2 linked regions of the Cricetulus griseus genome follow. The protein of the gene in region 1 interacts with the protein of each later gene in a pairwise test. Links are inferred from orthologs where the notes say so. Each region holds a gene or a part of one and is shown in the gene's direction. Other genes may lie near its edges.

What was found. The genes of interacting proteins can lie anywhere in the genome.
Region 2: the proteins of Otx1 (region 1) and Rgs17 interact in binary tests that used the Homo sapiens proteins (3 or more experiments, as listed by UniProt). The two-hybrid records come from large-scale screens. The link is inferred for Cricetulus griseus from reciprocal best matches to the Homo sapiens genes OTX1 and RGS17.

What each region holds. Positions count from the first base shown.
Region 1 is NW_023276807.1:84,695,283-84,699,775, forward strand, and holds the start of Otx1 (homeobox protein OTX1), read left to right. Parts: upstream 1-1,313; coding exon 1,314-1,410; intron 1,411-2,253; coding exon 2,254-2,405; intron 2,406-3,757; coding exon 3,758-4,493. UniProt on the Homo sapiens protein: Probably plays a role in the development of the brain and the sense organs. Can bind to the BCD target sequence (BTS): 5'-TCTAATCCC-3'.
Region 2 is NC_048595.1:283,333,953-283,337,941, reverse strand, and holds part of Rgs17 (regulator of G-protein signaling 17), read left to right. Parts: intron 1-3,205; 5' UTR 3,206-3,230; coding exon 3,231-3,349; intron 3,350-3,989. UniProt on the Homo sapiens protein: Regulates G protein-coupled receptor signaling cascades, including signaling via muscarinic acetylcholine receptor CHRM2 and dopamine receptor DRD2.

The sequences.
Region 1 (4,493 bases):
GCCGCGGGACCCCAAGGACCGAAGCAGGGGTTGGAGTTGGGATGGGAAAGCTACTTAAGTCCTGCCTCCTTTTTCCCTGAGTTCCCACCCTGGGCTCCCTGTAAAGCCGGGTGTAGCTAGAAGCCCCCCTCTCGGGTCCCAGCCCTACCCCCCCAGAACCCCTTCTTCCGCTGGAGAAGAGCGCCAGGGGCTCGCAGTGTCTTCGGCCGAGCCTAGCGCTCCCAGCTTGGGTGTGCGGGAGCTTTCCGACTTGAGGCCTAGTTCTCTGCTCTCCACCGAGTTCAGGAGAGGACGGCGAGGAGCCCACGCGATCCAGGGTGCTCTGGCTTCTGAACTCCCCAGCATGCTTTGAGCCGCTGGGCTGGTCATCCTTTATCAGACCCTGGTGGGACTCGGTGTGCTCTCTCGGACTTGGTAGAAAGAAGGTCGGGCCTGCGTGGGCTTAGGAGGACGGGTGACCGTCTTTGAGGCACCCCTGACCTTGGGCGGCTTCTTGAAACTGCCACTTCTACTGTGGCGCCTTTGGCATCTTCTCGCCGCCTCACCCGGGCCTGGGCCACATCTACCCTAGAAGTGCGTTGAAATTCCGGTTCACCCATCTCCTAGCGTCAGGGGCCCAGAGAGGTCAGATAGAATGGTGATTGGGACTCTGGGGGAGGGGGCTGCTCTGGAGATCTCTGAAGGAATGATGTGACCAAAATGGGCAGTTGCCTGGGCGATCCAAGGGGTACTAACCTTGGACCTCTGTAGTGCCAGCGGTTTTGTCCCTCTTTCAAAAACATTTGAAACTTAAACAAAATAACCCGGTACGTACGCTCTGTACGGCCTGCCATCCCGGCGCCAAGTGAACATTTGCTTGAGCAAATTGCTTCCGCAGCACTAAAAAAAAAAGACTACACTTGGGATTTTGCACCCTCCCCGGTCCCGGCTCTCACCTCCTCGGCCTGATCGCGCTTTTAAGTTTTCTTTCCTGTTGACACTCAAGGAGTGTCTTTGGCCCTTGTCAAGCCCTAAAAGAGGAAGGAACGATGTGGGGAAAGTTTACTTTTCTAAGAAGCCGGCTTGCTGAGCTTGGAGGAGAAATTTCTTGGGTTGCCTGCCCTGTTAAGTTCCTAGCCTGCCCCCCTCCCCATTCTAGGATTATAGGAACTGAAAGCCAAAGTGACTGCGGGTGACGGTTTCCATGTGTCTCCTGTCTCCTTAGGCCAGGCCCCCAGAAGCAACAGCTTGAAGGACTTCGAAGTGGGAGCCCTGAACTGCTCCTGGCCCCAGGCCCCCTGGATCCGTCGGGGCGCCTCCACCCGGCAGTTAGCATGATGTCTTACCTCAAACAACCCCCATACGGCATGAACGGGCTGGGCCTAGCTGGCCCTGCCATGGACCTCCTACACCCCTCTGTGGGCTATCCTGGTGAGCGGTGGCCCTATGTCCCTACCCCCAAGCCTGTGCAAATATTGGGGGATTCCAGCTTTTAACGTTTGAGCCCACACAGTCCCCAAACAGGCCCAGGGATATGATTATCTCTGTGTCTGTTGCCCAGATCTGCTACAGGCTCTCCGGTTTGAGTTTAGAAACTGTGACCTACAACTTTTGAGCTTGTGGTGCCTGCTCCTGTTGTGGTCTCACATGCTAGAGAAAGCATGTTTGTCCACCGACGTATTTCCCACCGGTTGCTTTTTTAAAAAAATAAAATCTTGCCCGCCCAAACATTTCACGAGGAATCTGGACTCGATAGGCCCTAATGTAAACAGCCAAACTTCCCTTATGTCTAGCTGCCTTGAGAAGCAGAGCTCTTTCTCCCTAGTCAGAGTGCCCTAGAGACCAGGGACCTGACCCAGCTCTTCCGTGGTGGCAGACGACTCCAACTGAACCCCGAATTTATTTTCTGGATCCTACTTCTTTGCTTGAATTTATTCACTTGGAAAGCTTTCCCAGGTCCTGTTTCTACCTACCTCTGTTCTACTTCCTACCTTTCAGCCAGAAGTGGGCTTAGGGAGATGAGGAGGGGATGGCTTTGTTTTTTATCTGAGAGACAAGGAGGGCTGAGGCCCTGATGTTTCTTTCAGACAGGAGCCTCTAGCCCAATTTATACACTTTGCCCCACCTGTGGGCAGGGAAGTTTGCTTTTGCGCGGAGGTCGGCCTTTCCTTTCCATGGCAGGGTTCTGGACCTACCAGAAGACCTGCGTGTGGCCTCTAGCTCCAGTCCTCGAGGTCCACTGCTGACTCCAGGTGCCCTTGTATGTCCCCACAGCCACCCCGCGGAAGCAGCGACGGGAACGCACCACCTTCACGCGTTCACAGCTGGACGTGTTGGAGGCCCTTTTCGCAAAGACTCGCTACCCGGACATCTTCATGCGAGAGGAGGTGGCGCTCAAGATCAACCTGCCAGAGTCCAGAGTCCAGGTGCGTGGTCTTTGGGACTCTAGGATTAGGGTAGGGGCGCTAGGAGCGGTCGGGGAAGATCCGACCTGGGCCATCTGGTGTTGGGGCCCATTCACTGACTGGACAGCCCCTCTCTAACTCCCCCTAGTGCTGGGCTTCAGTCAGCTAAAGGGGGGTAACATTTTAAAAAGTAATGGCTTAGAGCCCAACATCTCTCTAGCCCTTGTCCCCAGGGCGCTTTCATTGTTGAAAGTCGGTTTTTGGATTTTGGAAAGGCCAGCCGTGTCCCCCGGGTGTAACTTTCCCAGAAGGTTAGATAATGGCCCCTGCTTCCTGGCTACAACAGAATTTGGCGTTTTCCTACTGAGCCTTAGCTCTCCTTCCGCTCTTGTCTTTCTTACCCTTCCCTTGAGTCCTGGGGATTCTAAAAGTGCAAGATGGAACTTGGTCACAGCCTAGCGCAATCTGCCTTGGAGTGTGCTCTGAGGGTGGAGTCGGTATGGTTTGGAGTTTTCTCCAGCCGAGTGGAGGCCGAGTGCAAAATCCAGATGCTGGGTTTACTGTTTCTAAAATGAAACAGTTCAGAAAATAGGAGTTCTGAGTTAGTCTAAAACTCTTCCTCGAGAGTCTTTTGTCTCAACTTCTTTCCCTGAAGGCTCGAGAAGGGACTGGGAATGCAATGCCCCGTGTCCGGGCCCCTCCAAAAGGAGTGCGAATTTATGACTTATCGTTCCATTTGGTACCCCACCTGGAGCCAAAAGGCCCAAGGAAACCTCACCCAGGCTTCCTTCACGAGAATCCCAGTACTGGAGTACTGCTTCCGTTCAGTTCAGCCTCCAGCCTTGCTTCTGTTCCCACCCAAATATTTGCCCTGCCCAACTCCAGTCTCCAGGAGCCGACTCGGTGAAACCCCTCGGGCCCCAGACTTGGTGACTGCCCTACTCTCCGATGTTCTGTACTCTCCGCTGTTTCCTGAGCTCTGTTCTTGGAAAACAGGGCCTCCAAACTAAAACGGGGCTGCGGGGAAGCAGCCAACTGCAACAGCTTAGAGATGGCTGAACTTCTGGCTGGACAGACGCAAACGTTCCGCCCTTGGGCAGAGTTGCGCTGGGCTTGGGGAGGTGCGCATCCCTCCTGCGGTGGAGGCTGACTGGGGGCTTTGCGCAGAAGGATGGGGGAGGGAGCCAGAGCTGGGGACCTAGCACGTGCGGGGGAGGGGACAGGGTCTGGCAGGGCCAGAGACTGGGAGGGGTAGAGGCTGGGATTGAGAGGTCCCTGAGATCCTGGGCGGGGTGTGAGTCCGAGGGGCGGAGGAGCTGTGAGCTCCACTAGCCAGCCCCCTGATCCCTTCTCCTTCACCCTGCTCACTGCAGGTTTGGTTCAAGAACCGCCGTGCCAAGTGCCGCCAGCAGCAGCAGAGCGGGAACGGAACGAAAAGCCGGCCGGTCAAGAAGAAGTCGTCTCCAGTGCGCGAGAGCTCGGGCTCGGAGAGTAGCGGCCAGTTCACGCCGCCTGCCGTGTCTAGCTCGGCCTCTTCGTCTAGCTCAGCGTCCAGTGCCTCCGCCAATCCCGCGGCTGCTGCGGCCGCGGGCCTGGGTGGGAACCCGGTGGCAGCCGCGTCCTCTCTGAGTACGCCTACTGCTTCGTCCATCTGGAGCCCGGCCTCCATCTCGCCAGGCTCAGCACCGCCATCCGTGTCCGTGCCAGAGCCACTGGGCGCACCGAGCAACGCCTCCTGTATGCAACGCTCGGTAGCCGCAGGTGCCGCCACTGCTGCGGCCTCTTACCCCATGTCCTATGGCCAGGGCGGAAGCTACGGCCAGGGCTACCCCGCGCCCTCTTCTTCTTACTTTGGCGGTGTAGACTGCAGCTCCTACTTAGCGCCCATGCACTCTCATCACCACCCGCACCAGCTTAGCCCCATGGCACCCTCCTCCATGGCTGGCCATCACCACCACCACCCGCACGCACACCACCCACTGAGCCAATCTTCAGGCCACCACCACCACCATCACCACCACCACCATCACCAAGGTTATGGAGGCTCTGGGCTCGCCTTCAACTCTGCCGACTGCTTGGATTATAAGGAGCCTGCCGCTGCCGCTGCTT
Region 2 (3,989 bases), on another chromosome or scaffold:
TTATTACAACATTGAAAAGAAAGGCAGGAAAAAAATTCCCCATCCTCATTAAATTTACTTTTTACTTGGTTAGAAAAATGTGTAAAACTTATCGTAATCCAGTGATGATGTCCCACGGAAAGAAAAGTTAAGGGGAAAAAGATGACAGTTCACAATAGAAGCAGAATGAGTTGTAGCTGTAAATAAAACAGTCATAGAATGTGTCCATAGACAATGTGATATTTGAGTCAAGACATGAAAGCGTTGAGCCCCAAGGATGGAAGAAGTATAAAGGCTTGAACACACATGTTGGTACCAGACATGGCTGAGGATAGCCAGGAAGTCAGCGATTTAATCAGAGTACAAGATGAGGAGAAATGTGCACTAGTCAAAGAAATGATGAAGGCAAGAATTTTGGCTCCACTCATCAGTATGATGAGAAAATGCAGGGAGCTGTTTGAGCAGGGTCAAATGGAAGACTCTGCAGAAATGATTGATCTGTTTTTCTTCCTCTTTTAAAAAATAATTTTTATTTAAATTAAAAACAATCTTATTTTACATACCAATTTCAGTTCCCTCTTCCTCCCATCCTCCCATCCTCCCATCCTACCCCCCACCCACTCCTCAGGTCAGACTTTGATGATCCCTCATGGAAGGCCTGATCCTCCCTTGTCTGTATTTTAAAGAAAAGTGAGCTGCTTGTTAGGAGTAATTGTGATGGAATGGGAAGAGCCAGGAGGCAGAGCCAGAGGGAGGACCGAGGAGACCAGTTAACAGGCCTCACATTTGCCAATCTGTTGATGAGGGGTCAGGATAGAATAGAGGGGCCTGAGAGGAATACAGAATGTTGGTCTGAAAGATTAGAATGTCAGGCTGTTTCACTTACTGAAATTAAGAAAACTGGGAGAAATAAAGTTTGGGAAAAGATAATAGATTAGGACTTGTTATATTTGAGGTGCCAAGTTGAGAAATCCACAAAGAGATGTCAACCAGGCTGGATTCTGAAAGGAAAAAAAAAAAATCTCAATTGGGCATCATATTTTGAGGATGTTTTTATTTTAGTAGAAGCCTAGTAGATCTACTTTTTAAAGAATCAATGATGTCAGAAAGAAAGAAAAAAAAACAATCAAATGCAGGATAGATCATTGTGGCGATCCTAATTTTGAAGGTGAAGGAGATGAAAAGAAAACACCCATGTTGGCCTGGAAGAGACAGGGGAGATAGAAAGGACATCAGTGAGGGTGGTGCCCAGGAAAGTAAGCAAGGATAGTACTCCCAAGAGTCATCCGTGTCTGTCTTACTCATTGTGGGCTGCTGTAACCAATTTCCATTGGCTTGGTGGTTTATAAACAAGGGGGGTGTATTTATCGTGGTTTTGTGGGCTGGGAATCAGCCTTTGGAGTCCAGTATGGCCAGGTTCTGGTGAACTGCTGACTCCTATTAGTATCCTCACATGGAAGAAGGCAGGAAACTGTCCTGGGGTCTGTTATATAAAGGTAGTAATTTTACTCACATGGAGTCCGTCCTCCTAATTTGATTACCCCCAAAGCCTCACCTTTTTATTACCATTGCACTAAGGACCAGGACAGGAATTTAATGTATGGATCTGGGGTGTAATTTGGTCCATTTTAATGCTGAATGCTACCAATAAGCCTGCTGTGTCTAAATTTATTCCATCACTATAACGAAATACCCAGAGCTCAGCGATGTATAAAGAAAGGCTTGCTTTGGACCTTGCAGTTCTGGAGGCTGGGAACTTTGAAGATAAAGCCCCAACATCTGCTTAGTTTCTGATGTAGGCCACATGCTAAGTCAATACAGGGCAGAAAACAGACAGCAAGCAGGCATATGTGAAACCGTAGACTGGGGCAAGCTGATGTAAAATGACCCTCTCATGTGAGGAGTTAAGTCTTGTTGGAAGTTCATTCCTGTTTTCACAGGGGTAGATCCACCATGATCCAATGACTTGTTAGGGCTTTCATCACCCTACTGCCATCATGTTGAGGAGTTAAGCTTCAGTGTGAGTTTTACTGAGACAGTCTGACATTCAACCCACCATGGTTCAGTAAATAGGGGGAAAGTATGTCTCTTGGATTAAAAGATATGGGGACATTGTGATGTCTACAAGATCAGTTTCAATAGGAGGGAAGGTCAGTGTCCCCTTTCTCTAGTTTACATAGCTTTAAATTTAGTTCTGATTCTTTCTAAACAGAGAAACTGTGGGCTCTATCTTAGCCAGTCATGAAGTCTGGTGTCATATACCAATTTCAATGCTTAATTGTTAACACGACATGGCTTCTAACTCTGATTTCATTTTCCTGTGACTAGAGTCCAGCAGGCTTAAGTAATATATGGAGTCTGTCAGAAATAACCCCCACTCCTGGGTTTTCACTTAGCTGAATATAAAATTCCCGAGTGTCCATTCTCTCTCAGCATATGGAAGTATTATTTTTCCTCCCCACTACCATGCTTGTTAACAGCTTCTATCAATCAAAATGTTATTTCTCTGATATTAATCCGACATTCCCCCCTTGGCTTTGTAAATCTGTGTCTTACTGTATGTGTAAGTGTGGGTTTATTTTTTATCTTATTCATCCTGCTCAGCATGTGGTGTGTCCGTTCACTGTGAGTCTCTGTTTTGTTTTCTTCTGAGAAGTTCCCAGCCAACTCCCCTTAAAATATTACATCCCTGACAGTCTATTAATTCTTTCCTCAGGCTAATTGTTATGTGTGTGCTGGGACCTCTGTGTTTCCCCACTGTTTGTGCCCAATCTTTTAAGCTTTAATCTTTTATTTTTGTCTTTAACTGCATTTTCATCTATTTCTTGATACTATAACTTAATTCTTCTGGAGGTTTTTTTTTTCCAAATACTGTTTTGGATTTATTTATTTTATGTGCATGAGTGTTTTGACTGCATGTGAGTATGTGCATCATCTGTGTGCAGTGCCTGCAGGGGCCAGAAGAGGGCATCAGATCTCCTGGAACTGGAGTTGCAGGCTGCTTGCAAGTCCCTTCGTGGGTGCTGGGAATTGACCTGGATCCTCTGCAAAAGCAACCAGTGGTCCTAACCACTGAGCCATCTCTCCAGCTCCTGGGGCTTATTCGGAGAAGAGATCATTCCAGTGTTTTGGGATTTTCATTTCTGGTTAATCATGTCTAATCTTGTTTCCCTTCACTTGCCTTTATGATGGCCTTTCACACCTTGTATTTTCTGTCTCCCTCTAGCCAGCTGGCTTCTGAAGCAGCTGAAATGAGAAAAAGGCAGCAATCCCAAAATGAAGGAACACAGGCTGTGTCTCAAGCACCCGGAAACCAGAGGCCCAACAACACCTGCTGCTTCTGCTGGTGCTGCTGCTGTAGCTGCTCCTGGTAGGTCCATACTAGACCCAGTGTAAGTGCATGTGCCAAAGCTTCATCCCATAAAAACCTGACAACCTGTACTACTTGCCCACTGGGCATGGAGAAATTTCTGAAAACCATCACTGACGTAAGGCACACATCCCATAAGCAAAATTAACTCCCTCAACACTGACATTAAAATGTTGGTAAGGTAAAAAATAGAAAATTACTTATGTCATGTTTTCTTCTGTACATGCTTCTTATGGATGTGGGTAAAAATAAGATCATAATTATAAGATCACCTGTCTATAAACAACAGGGTCATGATGGCTCAAGAGTCAGGAATATTAAGGGAATAGCCAATGCGATTGCACCTAGTGTTAAATGTAGTGGATTTTTTTTTATTAATTACATGCTTCCTCGTAGGAGTTTGTTGCCTTTGGTTGTATAATCAGAGCACTGTGAGTCAGAGTGGTAGCCTTAGCCACAGCGCTCTTGCCAGCAAAGGCATGGTGTGAAGAGGGAGGGACTTGTGACCACAAATCTGAAAGCTCAGATGCTGTGCTTAGAAGGAAGGTCAAGTCAGCCAACTAAAATCTCTGAAATCAGAGCCAAAGAATATGATTTTTGTTGCAATTTAACCACTGACATGCTTCAGGATATCTGTTTA